Astyanax mexicanus: one gene and its partners. The protein of the gene in region 1 purifies or fractionates together with the protein of each later gene. This does not show direct contact. Links are inferred from orthologs where the notes say so. Each region holds a gene or a part of one and is shown on either strand. Other genes may lie near its edges.

The links.
Region 2: the proteins of wwox (region 1) and vopp1 purify together in Homo sapiens (affinity purification with mass spectrometry; 3 studies listed by BioGRID and IntAct, with this or other methods). This does not show direct contact. The link is inferred for Astyanax mexicanus from reciprocal best matches to the Homo sapiens genes WWOX and VOPP1.
Region 3: the proteins of wwox (region 1) and wbp2 purify together in Homo sapiens (affinity purification with mass spectrometry; 3 studies listed by BioGRID and IntAct, with this or other methods). This does not show direct contact. The link is inferred for Astyanax mexicanus from reciprocal best matches to the Homo sapiens genes WWOX and WBP2.

The regions. Positions count from the first base shown.
Region 1 is NC_064409.1:53,551,209-53,559,050, forward strand, and holds the start of wwox (WW domain-containing oxidoreductase), read right to left. Parts: upstream 3,045-7,842; 5' UTR 2,862-3,044; coding exon 2,755-2,861; intron 1,163-2,754; coding exon 1,098-1,162; intron 1-1,097. Other genes in the region: hprt1l (hypoxanthine phosphoribosyltransferase 1, like), read right to left, coding at 5,228-5,275, 5,367-5,443, 7,377-7,423. UniProt on the Homo sapiens protein: Putative oxidoreductase. Acts as a tumor suppressor and plays a role in apoptosis. Required for normal bone development. May function synergistically with p53/TP53 to control genotoxic stress-induced cell death.
Region 2 is NC_064413.1:43,513,718-43,520,813, reverse strand, and holds the start of vopp1 (vesicular, overexpressed in cancer, prosurvival protein 1), read left to right. Parts: upstream 1-4,071; 5' UTR 4,072-4,280; coding exon 4,281-4,337; intron 4,338-7,096. UniProt on the Homo sapiens protein: Increases the transcriptional activity of NFKB1 by facilitating its nuclear translocation, DNA-binding and associated apoptotic response, when overexpressed. May sequester WWOX in lysosomal vesicles and thereby regulate WWOX role as tumor suppressor.
Region 3 is NC_064422.1:14,046,042-14,053,426, reverse strand, and holds the start of wbp2 (WW domain-binding protein 2), read right to left. Parts: upstream 3,100-7,385; 5' UTR 2,930-3,099; coding exon 2,871-2,929; intron 1,234-2,870; coding exon 1,125-1,233; intron 402-1,124; coding exon 266-401; intron 1-265. UniProt on the Homo sapiens protein: Acts as a transcriptional coactivator of estrogen and progesterone receptors (ESR1 and PGR) upon hormone activation. In presence of estrogen, binds to ESR1-responsive promoters. Synergizes with YAP1 to enhance PGR activity.

The DNA of each region.
Region 1 (7,842 bases):
ATTTAATTGGGAATTCTCTTATATTTTAAAAGCATCTGTGTAACTTAATCAATAGGACGTAATCAAAGTCTTTTACGCAAATAAAAATTTCTTCATCTTAGGGACTCAGAATCTAAACGTTGTCTAGAATAGTGGTTAAAGAAACCTGAAAGTATGTCTGAGGGCTGTAATGCTTTTAAAAAGAACATTACACAATATAAGTACATTAAACACCGCACTAAGGTGCACCGAATTATAAAGCGCACGATTAATCAACGTCTATTTTCTGGTCTATTTTTATACCTTAGGTGCACCGGATTAGAAGGCGCATATAAAGCGACAATAGTAAGGAACAAAGGTGTCGCTATGTTGTTAAACTACACAGGTTTCTCTCCTGAAAACTGAATATTTGAATGAGTAAAGCAATTCCAATTACTTAATTTTCAGCAGCAGCACTAGCCGCAGTTAGCAGCAGCGCTAGTCGCGGTTACACTGAGGAACACTCAGAGTTCTGGTAAGCCATAATATGTTTTAAATTTAAGATTCTTCAAAGTACCACTTCTTGCTTAGATAACAGATTTGAAAATCTTGGCTGGATTTTCTCCTTTAGATGTATGAGGTAGAGACACCTGTAATCGCTTTCAGTTAACAGCTGTGCTGAACTTGTAAAGACTTAATTACTTGAAGTTCTTAATGTGTTTAAGAGCATCAGTTGTGTTTTGAAGAGGTAGAATTGGTATTCTTATCCATATTATGGCAAGAACTACTATTTTTTTTGTATGATTGTTTCAAACATTCAGCTGAAAAAAAACACCATTTATTTTGTTGCAGGAATATATTCTTGAAATTAATAATAAAAAAGTCTTATTGCCAAGAATATTTTTAAATGCTAAAATAAAAAAAACTTTTTTCACATTGACCTTCCTTATAAAATGATACATATATGAAATAATAAGAAATAAGGTTTGGTGGTAAGTTTGTACAGTAAGCAAATTGCTTCCTTTAATTAACTTTAATTCACACTTTCTGGTAAAAACATTCAGACTTTATTCTAATCTTTTCCTAAAGAACTAATGAGAAATCTTAAAAATAGGAAGAATCCAGCTTTAAATTCTGACCTCCAGCACAGCGTTTCTTCTTTCCAGTTTTAGGATGCTCCCACTGTGTTTTCATCTCCTCATGACTGAAAGAAAAAACAGTATGGTTGGTAGGGCTGCACCAATGTGGCAATTATGGGTCGATGCTGAAATCTTGCATATACATATCTGCAAGTAATGATACACAAATTAAGAGTTTACAGAGAAACTACACATCCTGTTATAACTTTAGAAATAAATGTAACATTTATATACCTTACACTTTAGCTTTCAATTAACTGTATGCATGAAAAATTAGTTTTCATATTTTTTTGGTTTGATATTTACTTAGTTAACCAGTTCTTACATAGACTGGCCACATATTTAAATCCTCTTTTTGAATGAACATCGTAAATAAAACAATAGACCTATTAAAAGCAATAAAAAGTCTGTTGTCTGTTGTGTTTTTGTGAACACTCTCTCTTTCTTTCTCTCGCTCGCTCTCTTTCTCTGTCAGAACTACCAACATTACATTTTTTTTATCATGATCTTGAATATGATTAATCACAGAGTTGTTGTTGTTGTGTGACATGTGTTTGGCTGTTTTATTACCGTTGTTTCAAAAATAATTAAAAATTAATAAACATGGGGCGCAGAGTGGTCCAGCGGTCTAAAACGCTGCCACTATGAGCGGGAGGTCGCAGGTTCAAACCCCAGCTCATGCAGCTTTGCCATCAAGCTTCCAGCACTCAGAGGGAGCAAAATTGGCCCTGCTCCCTCTGTGTGGGTAGATGGCACTCTCTCCCCACATCACTCCTAGGGTGATGTCCGCAGCACAGGGCGTCTGTGAGCTGATGTATCAGAACCAAATCGCTGTGCTTTCCTCCGAGCGCGCTGTGACGCTAATCGGCTATGCTGCATTAGCAGCAGCTTGAAAAGAAGTGGTGGCTGACTTCACATTTTTTGGAGGACGCGTGTGCTAGTCTTCACCCTTCTGGTGTGTTGGGGCATTACTAGTGATAGGGGGAGTCCTAGTGAGTGGGTAGAAATAAAATTATAAAATAATAATAATAATAATAATAATAATAAAAATATACCTTAAGGGACAACTTGGATGTGTTCTTTCTTTTTAACTGCGTTTCCAAAGTATTGGATTATGACTCTGTATCAGCAGATACTCAAAAACAAATGACTCGGGAGCAAAAAAAAAATAAGATTTAAAAAAATTGCTTAAATAAATGAATTTGAATGTAATGTGGGCAGTGCTCAGCATTGGTTGATCCTTTTCTGGTATAATAAAAATCTGTCAGAAGATACTGAAAATAAAATATCGGCCAGACCGGTCAATACCAATGATTCTAAAAAAAAAAAAAAAAAAAGTCATTATCGGTCGATACTGGAATAATTCCAATATCATCCCTACTGGTTTCTGATGTTTTCCAGTATGAAGTGGTCTGACAGACTGTATACTGGGTAGGTAAATTAATACATACTCTATGAATCTATAGTGAAACTCATACAGTGTAAACAGTGTTTTAAACAGTACTGCAGTCAGCCTACCCAGAACACCTCACACACTTCATCTACTGATTCAGAAGATGCAGGAGTGTGAAACACAGTGATACTGATACTGAGTTCTGAGCAGGAATGAAGTGAGTCTTCAGTCTAAACTAGTGTATAACCAGGTTCATTAACTTACTTGGCATAATAAACCCAGCCATCCTTGGTGGATCTCTCCTCCCAGCCGGGGGGCAGCTCGTCCTCGCTGTCAGTATCGTCCATTCCCGCGTATTTAAGAGCAGCCATTGCGCTGTGCGGTTCTCCTGTAAGAGTTTCTAATTCAGCCGCTTCTGTGTCTCTCAGTCAGAACAGCTCCACTCCACCACCAGCAGCAGACCCACAGCAGCACTCTCCACCACTGCACTGACACTTCCGCAACAACACCGTGACGTACAGCGCAAGGACTTCTGGGATTTGTAGGCAGCGATGAGCCAAAAACACAGTAAAGTAAATCGACGCCTTTCTAAAAAAATAAATAAATCCATCTTATTTATTTTCACAAGTTTTTCAGGAAACACAGAAAAAAAAACATATGATAGTTATTATAGCTGTTTAAAAATTAGCAATGGTTTAAGAGGATAGTTTATCATACAGCAGAACAGTCAGAATTTTAAAAGATTGATTTAAAAAAAAAACAGAAAACAGGTAACAGGGCCTTTTTAGCTTGCTTTGTGGAGATATTTTACTGACTAAATTCAGAGGTATTCAAAAGGTATCAATAAAACTCAGTAATAAGGCTACAGAACTATGTCTTTATAAATAAGAAGTATTTAATTTAATTTTTTATTTTATAGTAAAATTCTCACCACTGACCAATCACGTTCACAGTCACGTGTTTTTACTATGTAATCTGTTTGTGCTTTTGCCAGATGTCAGTGCATGGGACGTGGCTTATTTTAGTAGACTTTTTGAATATTGAGGTTAAATGAATGATTATTTATTTAATATACAATAGTATTATCTAATTTAAATGATATATGTCGATTTGAAGAACAAAAATCAGAATATATTAACAGTAATAAATAAAAAGCAAATACATTTGTAATTTGTATACATATAGTAAAATAGCAAGCTCCTTTTCTATCTTAAAACATTTGAATTGAGATTAAATGAAAAAATGAATATAATAAAATAGATCAAAATTTTAACTTTCATAACATCCCAAAATGCTGGTTGGTGGGCTGTGGCTTTAAGATGTGCCAATTGGTTTGTTGTGCTGACTGTTCTAAAGAGCCAGCTGGTGTTTCACTAGTGTGAGCCTTAAGCCTCCTGTTTCTTTTTTTGTTTTTTTTTTAGATTGTGTTATTTGGTGAGCTGTTGTATTCAGCTGTGCCAATTGCTTGAGGTTATACTGTGTGTACCGCAGCTTTAGGATACGCTGTTTGGTGTTTTGGCTGCTTTACAACCTGTAGTTTTGGCCTGGCACAGTGGATATAACCAGTCCCTGTGAACTAGTAAGCTACCACATCATGTGGGAGACTGGGGTTCAATTCGTGGTATGGGTTACTATGCAGCGCTACTCAAATAAGCCATTAGAAACAAAAAATAAATTTACCTTTTAAACAATTAAATATTATCATGTCTGGGAAAAAAAAAAAATATATATATATATATATATATATAAAAATAAGACATAAGGTTTATTTTCTGAATTGGGATTGATCGTGCAGAAACATTGTCAGATCCCTTTATAGATGCATTACTGGCTTCAGATTCAGGGCAATGGCTGGGTCCTTGCAGGACAGTCACAGTTTTTCTTTGGGTATGTTCTATTTTTATTCTGCCTCCATCTTTCCCTTCTAGTCTGGCTTGTCTCTCAATTCCTGTCACAGAAAAAAACACCAAGTTTGACATTAGGAACTGCATTAATAAGGTGTTACTTATGGCCTGGTCTGAAAATGTTGCATTCATACTATATTTCTGGATAAAAGAAACAAAAATCACATCACATTTAGAACATTTTTCTATATTTTCATTATTAAAATAACGAAGCCAACAACAACATACATTGGTGTTATTTTATTGCAGTAATTCAGGAAAGCTTGGTGGCAATACCAAAACATCCCAGCATCACACACAACACACAGTTTTACATTCTTTATGTCAGTACATGATTAAAACACTGTACATATTTATTATTATATATCACAACAAATTGTACAGTCATGCACCGCCTTAGTAACTCCAAATAAATGTCTTACTTTTCATTCTGTCTCTGGACCTAAAAGTCTGAGACAGCCACGTCACAGAAAAAGTGCCATTTATAACACAAAATGTTCAAGTACATCTAAGGCCTCCATCAAAATAATAAATAAAAAGATACATAAAACAACATCTAGGACGATGATAGTTGTGATATTTATAACCTATTAAAACAAAACAAAACAAAACTAGGCCTATTCATTCTGAACAAAACCATAACTTGTATTCCAGGCGTTCTGTTTCTCTCCAGCACCATGAGAGGTCATTTCTTAATTGGATCTGCATTGCATGAGTTCACATTCCTTTAATAAAACATGTAGGATGTAGAAAAATAATTCTTCATAACCAAACCAGCATGGAGGAGTCACAGTGGTTCTCTGTCTTCAGTCATCCAGCACTTTGGATTCTTTTCATACTTTATACTTCTCTTTTGCTCTGTCACTTAGTATACAGATGTGCTAGGTATAAAAAAGGCAATAATTATTCCAGAAAACATTTATAATTAATATGTGCATGTCATGTATTGACACAATGCTTACATATACTTACACTAAGGTCCCTGAAATATTCATTGTAGTCTAAAGCATAGCCCACCAGGAACTTGTCAGGAACCTCAAACCCGATGTCTAGGAGGAAAAAGTGAAATACAAAAAAAAAAGCATTAAGTCAGTGTGCAGGTAGGTAGGTAGGTAGACCTCCATAATGTTTGGGGATATGCAGCTCTGGGGAAAAAGGACCACCTAAAAATGATGAGTTTCTTTGATTTTACCAAACTGAAAACCTTTGGAATGTAATTAAAAGGAAGATGATCACAAGCCACCAAACCAAGCTAAACTGCTTGAATTTTTGCACCAAGAGTGGCATAAAGTTATCCAAAAGTAGTGTGTAAGACTGGTGGAGGAGAACATGCCAAGATGCATGAAATCTGTGATTATAAACCAGGGTTACTCCACCAAATATTTTGTTTTCTGAACTCTTTAAACTTTATGAATATGAACTTGTTTTCTTTGCATTATTTGAGGTCTGGAAGCTCTGCATCTTTTTTGTTATTTCAGCCATTTCTCATTTTCTGCAAATAAATGCTCTAAAATTACAATATTTTTTTTTTGGAATTTGGGAGAAATGTTTCTGTGGTTTATAGAAGAAAAACTGAAGGTCTCATTATTTTCAGAGCTGTATATTCCCTTGATATGCTCCTCACATCTTAAAATACCAAAATCAAATATAATTAACATTCACATCCCAAACTTTAAGGGTTTTGCATACATTTATTTTTTAAAATACTGAAATTATAACAGCCCCCTCCTTTCACGGCACCATAATATTTGGGACAGATCAGTGATAAGTACATGAAAGAAGCATCTTCTCTAGTAATGCATTGCCAGGTCTCTTGTGAGGCTCTTTTGTTTGTCTGGGGGTGTTGTAACTCTCATCACCATATGGAACACGATTGATTGAATTTAAATCAGGTGACTGGCAATACATTTTTATTTCTTTAACTCTTAAAATATCTGTGATGCCTTAAAGGTATGTTTGTGTTATTAACCTGCTGTAGGATAAGGCCTCACCTATACATGTGTCAGTACCTGTATCAGGCATATATGCCCAAGCCATGACATCCCACCACCATGAGGTGGAATGTTTTGGATTGTGGGTAGTTTTTGTCTCCACACTCAACTCTTGCAGTCACTATAATTATGTGTTTGGGTTTTTTCCAAGATTTTTAGCAAAGAGCAGTCAATGACAAATGCACACCAAACTCCTGAAGGCTCTTCTGATTTATCGGACAGACAATAGAGGATTTTCTTAATAGTAAAATTCTACTTCCATCAGCAGCACTGTTTTCCTTGGCCTACCAGTCCCTTTTGCCAAAATAAGCCAATCAACAATCTTGTTTTTTTTTTTTTATCCCAATCAATATTTCTTATACATTTACTCGAAAAGCTATTTTTTTGTTATTTTTATATCATATAGAACAATGGCAATGACACATTTAAGGTACCGTCAGACTTCTTACAATTAAATATGTTATGTTATGTTTATGCATTAATAAAGCAATAAAAACACAATTAAACCAAATTTCCCCAAATATAACGATGAATGCATTTGCCGTTTGGAATATGTACTTTAATCAAAGGAAAATACATTTTTGTCCCAAACGTAATTGGATTATGGATACACTGTGTAACATTTAAAATAATAAAAGTTACATCACGGTATCATCATTTGCTCAAACAAAAGCAGCTTCACATAATGAAGTGTACGATAACAGGTAAGCGAGGGGACAATGATAATAGACTACCACCACTTCAGTTCTAAAGCTAAAAGCAGAGGTCAAGGGACAGGAACATCTGTGCTTCTAGGACAGGCCTAAAGAGCTTATCATCTTCCACCCTACTAAAAGCATTGCATAACCACTTCAAGCACTGATACATAAGCTTGTGTGCGAGTATCATGTCTAACAGCACGAGAGAAGGGTTTTCCTTCCTGTGTGGATTACATAGGAAGCTTAAAAGTAAAAATTCGACATGCATTCAGATCTAATAGAAATGAACTTACAATCAGGACGATATCCCGAGCTTCTTGGTGTTCTTTTCACTAGAAGGCTGAAATTGAATAGAACAGTAGCTTTATATAATTAAGTGCAATAAATATTCATTCTTTATTTTAGTTTTTATATAAAAAAAAAACATAAAATCATGTTAAGGTTTACAGAGTTAAATAAAATAAGACGGACACTAACTACTACTAAAGACTGCTTTCATACTGCCATCCACAGAGACATGTCCTGTATAGCACACAGACTATCAGTAAGTAGATACTTAGAGTGTATTATACTATATAGATGGGAAAGAGGGGCATTTGGCCATTAATGCCCAGTATGTAATCTGTTGCTACCCGTTCCATTAGCTAATGGTCATGTGACTCACATGGTTCAACTGACTCATGTGACTTTAAATTAATGTATGTGTGCATATACATTGTTCCTCCTCATTCTAACGTCTGTGAATAGAGTCCATACAGA
Region 2 (7,096 bases), on another chromosome or scaffold:
TTACAATGGAAAAGCTTATTTTGCTCAGTAAAATGCTAATATGACAATACATACAACACATTCTTACAGAAAGTTGTGGTGTTACATCACTGTGTTCATTAAAACATATCCAAAATACTTTTTTGGTACTATTATTTATGCATCATATATGAATATATCAACAGCTGGTTTGGTAGATCAGTGCTTAATGGTGTTAAATCTGGTAAGCTGGTGCTGGAATTAAACACTCACTGAAGCACTGACTGGGGATGTCCAGCAGAAATCTGGACCATAGATTTGTTCTTCAGACTAAATAACAAGATCTCACCTACTTTCTTTAAAATGAGAAATTCTTGTTACTGTACTGCATTTGTGTTTACCTGTACATGTTTTTTAATGTGATTTGAAGTTCTTATAAGTTATAACATTCTGATTACTGACTTAATAGTTCTAATTAATGTCTTTATATTCACAAAACCTGGACTGACTGAACCGCTGAACTTTCAGCTTGTCTAATTTAATTTGCCTGATCATACTTTTGAAGATCTGATGACGTTCTTTATTTGTGATTATATTTGTGACTTCATTTCATGGGTTTATGTAGGCTACCTAAATAAATCTTTCTGCTACATTTATCATAAGTAAGTCATTAAACTGGCTTATTTACTACAGTTATTTCCTACCAAATCTCATTTATAATATTTTTCAGTGTTTAGAGTAGTGTGCGCCGCCTGGCAATATGTTGGACTTATTAAGCACTGTCTCTGGGTCTGTAGAGAGCAGAAACACTGAGTTCAACTTTTATTGAATTAAATTTGAGTTTATCAGCTCATGAACCCCACTCTTTATGTGACATTGCATCTGATATAATGAAGCATCACTACAGACTCCTGAAATGATCTGTCTTCTGTTTACTAGTGGAAATGCTGGCAGTGTGAGGAGGCACAGTGTTATTTTGAGAAAACAAACTGATGGAAACGGGATGTTATTTTTTGCTGCCAGCACATTACTAGGATTTCTAGAGGATGTTTACATACAGTGCATTGCAGAGGTTCTAGGCACCTGTGGGAATTACGATAAAAAAGCCACAAGGGTTTATTTACTCTGTATGACACCATTATTAGAATAAATATTACTTTTACTAAATATCACTAAAATATTACTAAATATTACAATTAAAAATTCCAGCTGATATGGAAAATACAGTCCAAGAATTACATTATCCAAGAATACAGAAATTTGCCATTATGGCTTAAGAAGAGGTACAAACCTAACTTACGTTCAGGAATGCCATAGAATATATGGGTTCCAAAAAGAACTGTGCTTGTAATTGAGATGTGAATGATAATTATTTTATTCATTTCTATTTTTTCCTATTTTCTCCTAATTTAGCTAGACCAATGTTTCCACCCATTGTTTGCCACAACACAAGGAGAGTAAAGACAAAAACATGCCTCCTCCAACACGTGAAGTTAGCCACCGCCTCTTATCGAACTGCTGATGATGTAACATTTCCGAGTAGCATCACAGCAAGTTTGGAGAAAAGTGCAGTGACTCGGTTCCGATTCATCAGCTCACAGACGCCTTGTGGTGATGAGGAGAAAGAGTGCCATCTATTCACCCAGAAAGAGCAAGGCCAACTGTGCACTCTCAGGGCTTTGGCAGCTGATGGCAAGCTGCATGACCAGGATTCTCTTGGGATCCAGAGGTAGATGATGAAGCAGCATGACCCAGAATTTGAGCTCGCAATCCTCAGGCCATAGGGTCAGTTTCCCGGACAGGGATTAGGCCTAGTTGCAGCCTATATTTTCCTTTCCATGGAAAATCTCCTTTTATTTTGCAAATCATGTGGCATTTGAGTCATGTATATTTCATACAAAATGAATATTACTGAGAACTACTATGGAAGAACCTTTTTAATTCAAATTTAAAGATACTTCAGTCTACCGGACCAGCAGAGGATTTTGCACAGATTGCCTCTGGCAGGCCTCAGACCCTCCATCAGGTCAGATTACTTCATACACAGGATGCAGACGCAGAAGCAGGTTTCATGGCCAGTCTATCACGCACACAGTGAGGATGGCAACAGTGAGTTTCAGATTTAATGGCAGCAAAACAATGCCACTGAAAAAGAAAAGGCTGGGTCTAATTATTGAAAAAAAAAAACACCAAATGATCTCCTCTTATAAGGCTTTCTGGAGTTATTCCAAAAATAATAATACCACCAAACAACAGAGAGATATTCTCTCTCTCACTCACCAACTCTCTCTCTGTATCTCTCACTCTCTCTCTCTCTCTCTCTCTCTGCTCCATGACTGCTGTTGCCATAGTTCTACAGACAGGTAAATACTCTGGGGAGTCATGATATTACATTATGATAGCCTGACAGTTATAAGCTCATAGCCTGATATCCACAGCGGGGGTGTTGATCTCACTGAATGTTCACTATAGAGGAGTCAGATTACAATCATCTTGCCTGGTGTTCGAGATATTATTTGGTCTGGTTTAAAGAAATTGTTTAAGAAATATACAGGCTTTGATTTCCTTTATGGTGGTTGAGACAGGAACACTACCACCATGAACATTTTTGTCATTATTGTCTTCATACACTTTTAGAGAACAGCACATTTCACACCAACCCCCCTTAATTTAGTATGTTTACATGTTTAAATGCCCTTTGTGCAGGGATTTAGACAAATCTGTGGAATTCCCCTTTAGCAGTACATATAATACACCTGACTGATGTTCACTCTAATGTTATACAGCTTCACATATTGGATAGCAAATGCCAGCTATATTTACATAGCAGATATTGTGACACTGGGTTCTTAATCTTATCGTTTCACATCAAATCCTTCGAAGGACTGCGAAAATCCCCTGTAATTAACAGGTTTATCTGGGAATCTGTGCTGAACATTAACCCTTCAGGACCACAATTGAGCAAATTCATTATATTCAGAAACACTTGCCCCAGAGTAGTTTTATGACAACAACCCTCATATTTCTCACCTTAGGCAGAAAATGTTCTCAATATTATCAAAACCAATATGACTTTTATATTTGCCATATTTTGAGACAGACTTGTATGTCATTTTTTATGTGTTTCTTCATTATTTAAGTAAATTTAAGTAAATAGTATTATAATTAGTAAATTTGCATTAAATACTGCTAACTGTGATGGTTTTTGTCCCCATATTTCTCACCTTATGCATAAAATGTTATCAATATTATCAAACCCAATATGACTTTTATTTTTGACAATCATTCTGGCTTATGAGTCAACTACAAAATGACACATAAGCACAGCATATTTACAAAAATGGGTAATGGGAAATTTAATGGACAGCATCCATAAAACTCAAACAAACTAAACTGCACTACTCTGCAGTTACTGCTGCTGCATGCTTGTCTATACTGTATAATTAAGTATGTAATATACTTAATATATAGCTGAAAGCATGTAGAACCTTCCTGATTCTGTATATTTAGTACATTTTGTATTATTCTGTATATTACTGTATATTAGAATGTATTGTTTGTTCTATTTAGTGAATAAGGTGCTACAACTTCCATTAAAACTTTAATTTAAAGCAAGGTATAAACATTTGTGTTAAACATAATGTGACTACATTCAACTACAGCATACTTCAAATAAACATTCTGTTTATAATGATTTGTTTTATAATGATGATCACTTGTGTATTGATTAGTCTTCTTCAATTAATGTTCTCAATTATTGTTATTATTTGTCAGTTTGTTGTTTCTTGCATGTTGGATCGAAGAATAATTAAGTCTGTAGCTACCAATAACTTAGATTTTGTTATTTGTATGCTTGTTTGTTGAATACATAAATAAAGATAATAAAACACAGCAGGGATATCCCGCATGCGCTTTTCACTTCCCACCCGTATTACGTTAGGTCCCGCCTTACCGCGCTGGGATTGGCTAGTAGGATTCCGCGCTCGGTGCTCTACGATTGGCGAACAGCTTAAACTGACACGCATTCTGTCCAATCTTTAAATTTCTTGCGAGAAAAGTGCAGCTAGCCAATCAAAAGGGCGAGAGGCGGGACTTGTACGAAAACGGGTAGGGGAAAAACACCCGACGCTATTAGCATTGACAGTACGGGCTAAGCTGCTACGGATACGCGGATGTTAGCTACAGTAACCGCCGCCGCCGCTTTGTGTACAGAGAGAAAGAGGGCATGTAGTGAGAGAACGGACGGGAGGACTGCGATGGAGCCGTGCTCGTGACAGAAATCTCTCCAGGTTGTGCCAAAAGAAGGGAAGAAGCGAGTTAAGATGAAGAGCCGTCGCGGAGTGGGTGTTCTCCTAACGGTCTGGGTGCTGCTGGTGGAGGTGAGTGGGCTGTTATTCAGGAGAGACTCGGAGAGATTGAGAGAGAGGAGGTCCTGCTTTAGGAGGCGCTGAACACAAAAACACACTGTGTTATTTATTTACACTTACAGAGGAGTAGCCTGACTCCTGTCTGCCTCACTTTCCTGTCTTTCTGACTGAGCTGGAGTGCTGTAAAATGCCGCATATGTCCGAATAACCTCCAGTGCTGCTGTTTAAATGTACAGTGTGTGAGTGTCGCAATTAGGAATAATAATAAGCCTGTGTCTCGGGGTCCGTGTTCAATCAACCATAAACAAGAGCACGCCACCACTACAGCTACTTCTATTATTTAATACTGCTGCTATTTCTGTTTAGCCCCAGGACACCGGAGTTCATGCCTTCATATGAACCTGACACTGTAGCTGTAGTCATAGTTGATTGGTTAACCTATACACAGCTCTGGTAAAAAAAAAAAAAAAAAAAAAAAAGAGATCACTTAACAATGATGAGTTACTCTGATTTTACAAAATTAAAAACCTCTGGAAAATAAACAAGAGGAAGATGGATGATCACAAGGCATCAAACCAAGCTGAACTGCTTGAATTTTTGCACCAGGAGTGGCATAAAGATATCCAAAAGCAGTGTGTAAGACTGGTGGTGGAGAACATGCCAAGATGCATGAAACTGTGATTAAAAACCAGGGTTATTCCACCAAATTTTGTTTTCTGAAATCTTAAAACTTTAAGAATATGAACTTGTTTTCTTTGCATTATTTGAGGTCTGAAAGCTCTGCGTCTTTTTTGTTATTTCAGCCATTTCTCATTTTCTGCAAACAAATGCTCTAAAAGACAATATTTGTTTTGTAATTTGGGAAAAGTGTTGTTTATAACCTATAAATAGCAAAATCAGAGGAACTGATTCAGAAACTAGGGTGGTCTCAATTTTTTACAGAGCTGTATATGTATATATATTGTTTGCAAAGGTTTCATTATGACAGTAAAAATAAGGATAAGGATAAGGACACATACAATGTAGCTCAGTTTTACATACTGTAAATACAGTATAGTAATGAATTACAGTTTCTTGTTTGTTGTATCCTACATTCCTACATTGAAAAGTTACTTTGTTTCAGTATTTCAGTTTATTTTGTGAAACTCATATATTATGCAGACGTTTTACACACTGAGTGATCTATTTAAATTATTTATTTATTTTACTGTTGATGATTATGGTTTACAGCTAATTAAAACCCAAACATCAGTGTCTCAGAAAATTTGATTATTATACAAGACCAATTGGTACTTTTGGCAGTGTGGGCAGTGTGCCAAGACCTGCTGGAAAATGAAATTTGCATCTTTGGAAAAGTTGTCAGCAGAGAGAAGCATGAAGTGCTGTAAGATTGTCTGGGAAAACACTGTACTGACTGGACACAGTGGACCAACACAATCAGATGACATGACTCTTCAAAGCATCACTGATCATCAGTAAATGTTGCATTTCATTTAGCAATCAAGGGAGCAGAGTCTGGAGGAAGAGTGGAGAGACACACAGTTCAAGCTGCTTCAGGTCTAGTGTGATGTTTCCACAATTAGTGATGGTTTGAGTTAGGGTTAAGTAGAGATGGGACCGATCCGATACAATATCGGTATCGGGGCCGATATTGACGTAATTCGACATATCGGATATCGGGCGAGCGCGTCCGATCCACTTACCGATCCATATTCCAGTCCACAGCTTGAGCTGGACAGTAAACCCGCCGTAACGTTAACACGAAACACATCACTGATCCGGATTCCAGTTCCACAGTTTACCCTGAACATCCAGCAGCTTCAGTCTGCAGCTGACTGAGTAAACATTAGCTATTTGTCTACAATAAAAATTCAATTATCTGGAGAGTTTTAACTTTGAAAATGCTGTACAGCAGAACGGTACACGTAAAGTCAGCGTCCAAATAAACAGATTAACACCAGCAGTCTGTTAGCCTAGCTAGCACTGAACTGACAGCAAATTATATTTATAATTCACATATCCTATAAAAACACAGGATCTACAAACACTAACCAGCACAAACACACCAGTTAGCCGTTAGCAAATGCATTCCGGCATTGTGAATGTAATAAATAACTATATTAAGTGAACTACAGCCATAATCCACATCTAATATCAAACCACAGATCCTACCAACCCTAACCAGCACTAAGAAATCAATCAGTTATTAAAAAACAGTGATTAATTCAGCTCGGAAATACAGTTAGCACCACCGGTTAGCCATTAGCTATTGCAGCTAATCCTCTATGCTACTTGTCAAAATAAAAGTCTCCTGCGCAACCGTAGCAAAACAATGCCCTGAATTTATTATTTAGCGTATTTAATATTTACCTTTTTTTAATATTTAATAAAAATTAAATCATTTAACTTGAAAGGAAACTACTGTGTATTTGCATATAAAGTATGCAGTATAAAGTATAAATAAATGACTTTTGAATGCATTTACATTAAATGCACTTGAGTATACTCTTCAAAGGGCTGTGTGGTCTGTTTCAGCCTCATTATGAAACCTTAATCATAGTACTATTAATAAACTAAAAGTATCAGTATTTGTATCGGTATCGGCAATTTTATCAGTTTTGTATCGGTATCGGATCGGAGCTGAAAAAAGCGTATTGTCCCATCACTAGGGTTAAGGTTAGACTGGGGATCTTGCATGTTGAAACTGGTGGTCGATTTGGATTACGCAACCGCAACTTAACTCTAGCAAGACTCTCATGATTTTATCCCGA
Region 3 (7,385 bases), on another chromosome or scaffold:
ATAAATGTGTGCTCCAACAATTCTACTAAGTAAGCAATGGCAAAAAGAAAAATTACAAATGACATATTCTGAATTCACAACTGCATTTTACATTTTACTGAAACATGTAAATGTTGTTTTCTTAAACTCTAGGACTACATCAGCTGACATCACTATTTAATTTTTTTCCATTTTTACCAATTTTCTCCCCAGTTTAAGCTGATCCAATTCACTGAAGAGCTTATTGATGACCTTAATGCTCCAATCAGATTTAGTAAGTTCTTACCCCCTGGTTCAGCGTTCACCGCACCCTTTATGTAGTTGGCTCCAAGAACAGGCTGTTTGACTTCACAGCCCTTCATTAGATAGAATGGCATCATGAAGGACTGAAGAGCATCCTTCCCCTTTGTCACGAAGATTACCTGATAGAAGAACAGACCGCACAACTTTTGTAAAGGCTCTGGAGAAGCTATTTAAAGGAATAAAATAAAATATTATAATTAGACTACTGACTGCAAACACTTTCACCTAATTTATTTACCCAGGACAGACCTATTCAGACTCCCACTCCTCTATGCAGAATTCTTTCAGCGATGTGATGCTTTATCTACAGTTTGTGTGGATGGTCTTACATTTTTCTTCAAACCACCTCTGATACAATAAATAATTCATATTCACCTATGATAAGCTTGCCAGACCATCCTCTGTAGCAAAGCAACCCCAAGCCATGAGAAATGTGAATAATATACGCGTAAACTCAATTGCAAAAATCATTGTTTTCATGTTCACGTCTGAAAGAGTGAGCGGGGGGGGGGGGGTGTTGAATAATTCATTGAAGAGGTTTTAAAAGCACCAAAATCACAAAGTTAACATTCATTATCGCTGATAAGTCATTGTTGTGATTAAAGTGGAACTTACCACAGTAAAACATTAGTCACTGCAGTAAATCTATTTACTCCTAGTTAATTAAATATCTGAGGGTTTTTGTGTAACACACTTAAGTAATTCCCTTTTGTCCATTTTTTTATACTTAAGTGAAAATCGTATGGTGTTTATGCAACCGGGTACTGGACTTTGTCTCAGTGTTCTCTGGTAACTGACATCTGATTAGTTAAAGAATATCTTTTATCTCTTTTCAGACTCACCCTGTACGGAGTGAGATAGATGCTCCCCTTCTTGCTCTTCTTGAACAGCTCTGGTAAACGATCAGCATCACTGAACGACAGCTCCACGTTTTCATAGGACATCAGAACACTGTGAAGGAGAACAGTGGTGTTTTACTCTGCTGGTAGAGCGAGATTGTTTTACACAACAGAGCAGATTTACACTTAATAAATGAAGACAAGAAGATAAAACACACTGAGCAAATCTAAAATTAGACCTACAAAGTCACAAAGAACTGTGTAAATGTCCACAGTCTTACAGTCTTACATCACTGAAGACTTAAGAAGCTTAGTGACTCTGTGACCCAGTGAAGATGGGAATGGGCATCTCTCTCTTTCTGTTTGTCTGAATGTTATTTGTATTTATTCTAATACCAGTGTTTCACATACTGCTAACAGGCTTTTTAATTTTGCATATGACTGATGTGGTAAATAAATATTTATATATCACAATAGAAAATGTTTTAATAGAGATATGTTATTATACATTACTTACAGCGATTTGGTTTTGTGGCGTTTTTGTTCATATTGTTAACAGAATTAACTCAAATTTTGGCTGTTTCATCCTACATGACATGATTTATCAGAATGTATCTTGAAAAGGTAGAAATGAAGTTTATATACAGAAATACATACACACATTTTTTTCTATTTGCAGTAAGTTATATATAAACACATTTTTTCTATTTGCAGTATATATATATATATATATATATATATATATATATATATATATATATATATATATATATATATATATATATATATAGAACAAAACAAAATTAATAGAACTAAAAGTTTAAATTAATGGAACGCATTGTCTATACAGGGCCTAGAATTATCTTTATTTAGCTCAGGTAACTGTAGCTGTGTGGACACTGCCTATCTACTCTCGTTTTTTAGCTGTTTGTTTATTTAAAGTGTTTAAATAAGTTTGTTTTAATAAATGTTGATGTGCAGACGGAAGGTAAACATTTACTGGAGCTTTTAATCTGTGTCAAATATCCTCCGTCACACCAACGATTAAATATAATCATCTTCGAACTCTCCGTTCCACCTTAAACGGTGCAGCTGATCATACCAGCCCCTCACAGCGAAGTCATTTGTGGAGGAGTGCGGAGTGCTGTGAGTGAGCGCGCGGAGGCCGGTGTTTAAGATGGAACGGAGAGTTGTGAGTGAGCGCGCGGAGGCTGCTGGTGTTTAAGGTGGAACGGAGAGTTGTGAGTGAGCGCGCGGAGGCTGCTGGTGGAACGGAGAGTTGTGAGTGAGCGCGCGGAGGCTGCTGGTGTTTAAGGTGGAGAGGAGAGCTGTGAGTGAGCGCGAAGGCCGGTGTTTTGTCGAGGTATTCTACCCGTCGATACGTGCTTCCTAAAGGCACTGCGCATGCGCTGACCTATACTTTTAGATTATTTCTCGTGTTTTTCAATGCATTAAACAACCTGGACTCACTGTTATTGCACAAAAGCGTAAATGGAAATTATAAAATTTGAATGCAATAATTATTATTGTATTATGGTATTAATATAATTATAAACAAACAAAAACACGTTAGTAGTGAACTTTACCACGACACAGTAATTTATGCTTTTCAAATATAGTAACTACATCTACTGGGACTCCTGCTTTTAACATGCTGTAATATGGTGCTTCTCTTGTATTTTTACAGGTAAATATACACTAGGGGAACACGGTTTAACAAGGTAGCAGAATCAGACAGAACACCGGTACCTCTCGCTGTTGTTGATGATGACTCCCCCGGACTCGGAATGGTTCTGATTCAGGGTCATTCTGGGTTCTTCTCATTCACGCGCTGTTGGAGATCTCTCTGCTGCTGATCGGTGGATCTGATCGATCAGTTTCCGATACTGGTGATTAGAGATAACCGCACCTGCAGCTCCCGCAGCCCGCACCGTCCCGCGGAGTACCGCCCCTCCCTGACGCAGCGCGCGTCTTTAAAGGACACGGAACTTTCCTGAAGGTTCCGAATCTTTCTGAATCGATTCTGATCGGATTGGATTATCTATTTAACAGTGGAGCTGTGTTTTTTAATATATAAAGTCATATTGTTGAATATTATAGTTATAAAACAGCAACACACACCTTAATATAAAAAAATATATAAATTATAGAGTACAAGTCAAAAATCTGGACACACCATAAAGTCGTTTTAAAATGAAATAATTTAGTAATAAAGTGTTAAGAAGTGTGAGAAGGAACACATTTCAAAATAAAAGTCCCCCCCTTAATATCACGACATTATGCTGTGGAGTGGTATTAAAAGGAATCCACATAATATCACATGTTATGTCTGATATCACATGTCAATTTCATGTAGTCCTGGTAGTACACAAAATAAAAGCCCTGTAAATTATAACAATTATGTTAATTAAATAATAATAATACTAATAATAATAATACTAACAATACTACTACTACTAATAATAATACTTGTATGTGTCACTCACTTAATAGCAGGGCATTATAATGTGTCATTTCAAAATAAAGGCCCTTTAAATTTTAACATTTATGTAATTTTACACAATGTTTAGACTGTTATTAAAAGGAATCTGTCTGATATCACAGCTCAATTTTATATAGCCCTGATAGTACACCACTTGTATGTTTCACTCACTTAAAATCAGAACATTTTGATGTGTCATTTCAAAATAAGGGCCATTTAAATTGTAACATTTATGTAATTTTACACAATGTTTAGACTGTTATTAAAATAAATCTGTCTGATATCACGGGTCAATTTCATATAGTCCTGATAGTACACTACTTGTATGTTTCACTCACTTAATATCAGAAGATTTTGATATGTCATTTCAAAATAAAGGCCCTTTAAATTATAACATTTATGTAATTTTACACAATATTTAGACTGTTCTTAAAATAAATCTGTCTGATATCACAGTTCAATTTCATATAGTCCTGATAGTACACTACTTGTATGTGTCACTCACTTAATAACAGAACATTTTGATGTGTCATTTCAAAATAAAGGCCCTTTAAATTGTAACATTTATGTAATTTTACACAATGTTTAGACTGTTATTAAAAGAAATCTGTCTGATATCACAGTTCAATTTCATATAGTCCTGATAGTACACTACTTGTATGTTTCACTCAATTACTATCAGAACATTTTGATGTGTCATTTTAAAATAAAAGCCCTTTAAATTGTAACATATGTAATTTTACACAATGTTTAGACTGTTATTAAAAGAAATCTGTCTGATATCACAGTTCAATTTCATATAGTCCTGATAGTACACTACTTGTATGTTTCACTCACTTAAAATCAGAACATTTTGATGTGTCATTTCAAAATAAGGGCCATTTAAATTGTAACATTTATGTAATTTTACACAATGTTTAGACTGTTATTAAAAGAAATCTGTCTGATATCACAGTTCAATTTCATATAGTCCTGATAGTACACTACTTGTATGTTTCACTCACTTAATATCAGAACATTTTGATGTGTCATTTCAAAATAAAGGCCCTTTAAATTATAACATTTATGTAATTTTACACAATATTTAGACTGTTCTTAAAATAAATCTGTCTGATATCACAGTTCAATTTCATATAGTCCTGATAGTACACTACTTGAATGTGTCACTCACTTAATAACAGAACATTTTGATGTGTCATTTCAAAATAAAGGCCCTTTAAATTGTAACATTTATGTAATTTTACACAATGTTTAGACTGTTATTAAAAGAAATCTGTCTGATATCACAGTTCAATTTCATATAGTCCTGATAGTACACTACTTGTATGTTTCACTCACTTAATATCAGAACATTTTGATATGTCATTTCAAAATAAAGGCCCTTTAAATTATGAAATGAAATATGAAATTGACCTGTGATATCACACAGATTCATTTTAATAACAGTCAAAACTTGTGTTAAAATAAAAATATTGTTATAATTTAAAAGGCCTTTATTTTGAAATGACACATCAAAATGTTATGTTATTAAGTGAGTGACACATACAAGTAGTGTACTATCAGGACTATATGATATTGACCTGTGATATCAGACAGATTTCTTTTAATAACAGTCTAAACATTGTGTTGAAATAAAATATTGTTATAATTTAAAGGGCCTTTGTTTTGAAATGACACATCAAAATGTTCTGATTTTAAGTGAGTGAAACATACAAGTAGTGTACTATCAGGACTATATGAAATTGAACTGTGATATCAGACAGATTTCTTTTAATAACAGTCTAAACATTGTGTAAAATTACATAAATGTTACAATTTAAAGGGCTTTTATTTTAAGATGACACATCAAAATGTTCTGATAGTAATTGAGTGAAACATACAAGTAGTGTACTATCAGGACTATATGAAATTGAACTGTGATATCAGACAGACTTCTTTTAATAACAGTCTAAACATTGTATAAAATTACATAAATGTTACAATTTAAAGGGCCTTTATTTTGAAATGACACATCAAAATGTTCTGTTATTAAGTGAGTGACACATACAAGTAGTGTACTATCAGGACTATATGAAATTGAACTGTGATATCAGACAGATTTATTTTAAGAACAGTCTAAATATTGTGTAAAATTACATAAATGTTATAATTTAAAGGGCCTTTATTTAAAAATGACACATCAAAATGTTCTGATAGTAATTGAGTGAAACATACAAGTAGTGTACTATCAGGACTATCTGAAATTGACCTGTGATATCAGACAAATTTCTTTTAATAACAGTCTAAACATTGTGTAAAATTACATAAATGTTACAATTTAAATGGCCCTTATTTTGAAATGACACATCAAAATGTTCTGATTTTAAGTGAGTGAAACATATAAGTAGTGTACTATCAGGACTATATGAAATTGAACTGTGATATCAGACAGATTTCTTTTAATAACAGTCTAAACATTGTGTAAAATTACATAAATGTTACAATTTAAATGGCCCTTATTTTGAAATGACACATCAAAATGTTCTGATTTTAAGTGAGTGAAACATACAAGTAGTGTTCTATCAGGACTATATGGAATTGAACTGTGATATCAGACAGATTTCTTTTAATAACAGTCTAAACATTGTGTAAAATTACATAAATGTTACAATTTAAAGGGCTTTTATTTTAAAATGACACATCAAAATGTTCTGATAGTAATTGAGTTAAACATACAAGTAGTGTACTATCAGGACTATATAAAATTGAACTGTGATATCAGACAGATTTCTTTTAATAACAGTCTAAATATTGTGTAAAATTACATAAATGTTACAATTTAAAGGGCCTTTATTTTGAAATGACACATCAAAATGTTCTGTTATTAAGTGAGTGACACATACAAGTAGTGTACTATCAGGACTATATGAAATTGAACTGTGATATCAGACAGATTTATTTTAAGAACAGTCTAAATATTGTGTAAAATTACATAAATGTTATAATTTAAAGGGCCTTTATTTTGAAATGACACATCAAAATCTTCTGATATTAAGTGAGTGAAACATACAAGGAGTGTACTATCAGGACTATATGAAATTGAGCTGTGATATCAGACAGATTTCTTTTAATAACAGTCTAAACATTGTGTAAAATTACATAAATGTTACAATTTAAATGGCCTTTATTTTGAAATGACACATTATAATGCCCTGCTATTAAGTGAGTGACACATACAAGTATTATTATTATTAGTAGTAGTATTGTTAGTATTATTATTATTAGTATTAGTATTATTTAATTAACATAATTGTTATAATTTACAGGGCTTTTATTTTGTGTACTACCAGGACTACATGAAATTGACATGTGATATCAGACATAACATGTGATATTATGTGGATTCCTTTTAATACCACTCCACAGCATAATGTCGTGATATTAAGGGGGGGACTTTTATTTTGAAATGTGTTCCTTCTCACGCTTGCCGCAATGTTCAGTGTATGCGCGCTCTAAGAAACAGCGTGGGGGCTAGTTTGACCAAGCGTTTTGAAGTGGGGGCTGGCTTGACCGCAGTGCAAAACGCCTGCAGTGTGTGGAGCGGTAGAGCTTAGATCGGGCCCAAAAATCCAGCCCGACCCGGCCCAAATCCATGCACTTTCTGCTTGAGCCAGACCCGACCTGAGCCATAAACTGTCCTTCTGAACCCGAGCCATTTTTTAGTAATTAGAGCGTTAAAATTGAGCTATTTAAAACATTTTCGGGCTGTTTGAATTAGCGAAATCTGTTAAGAATTATGTTAA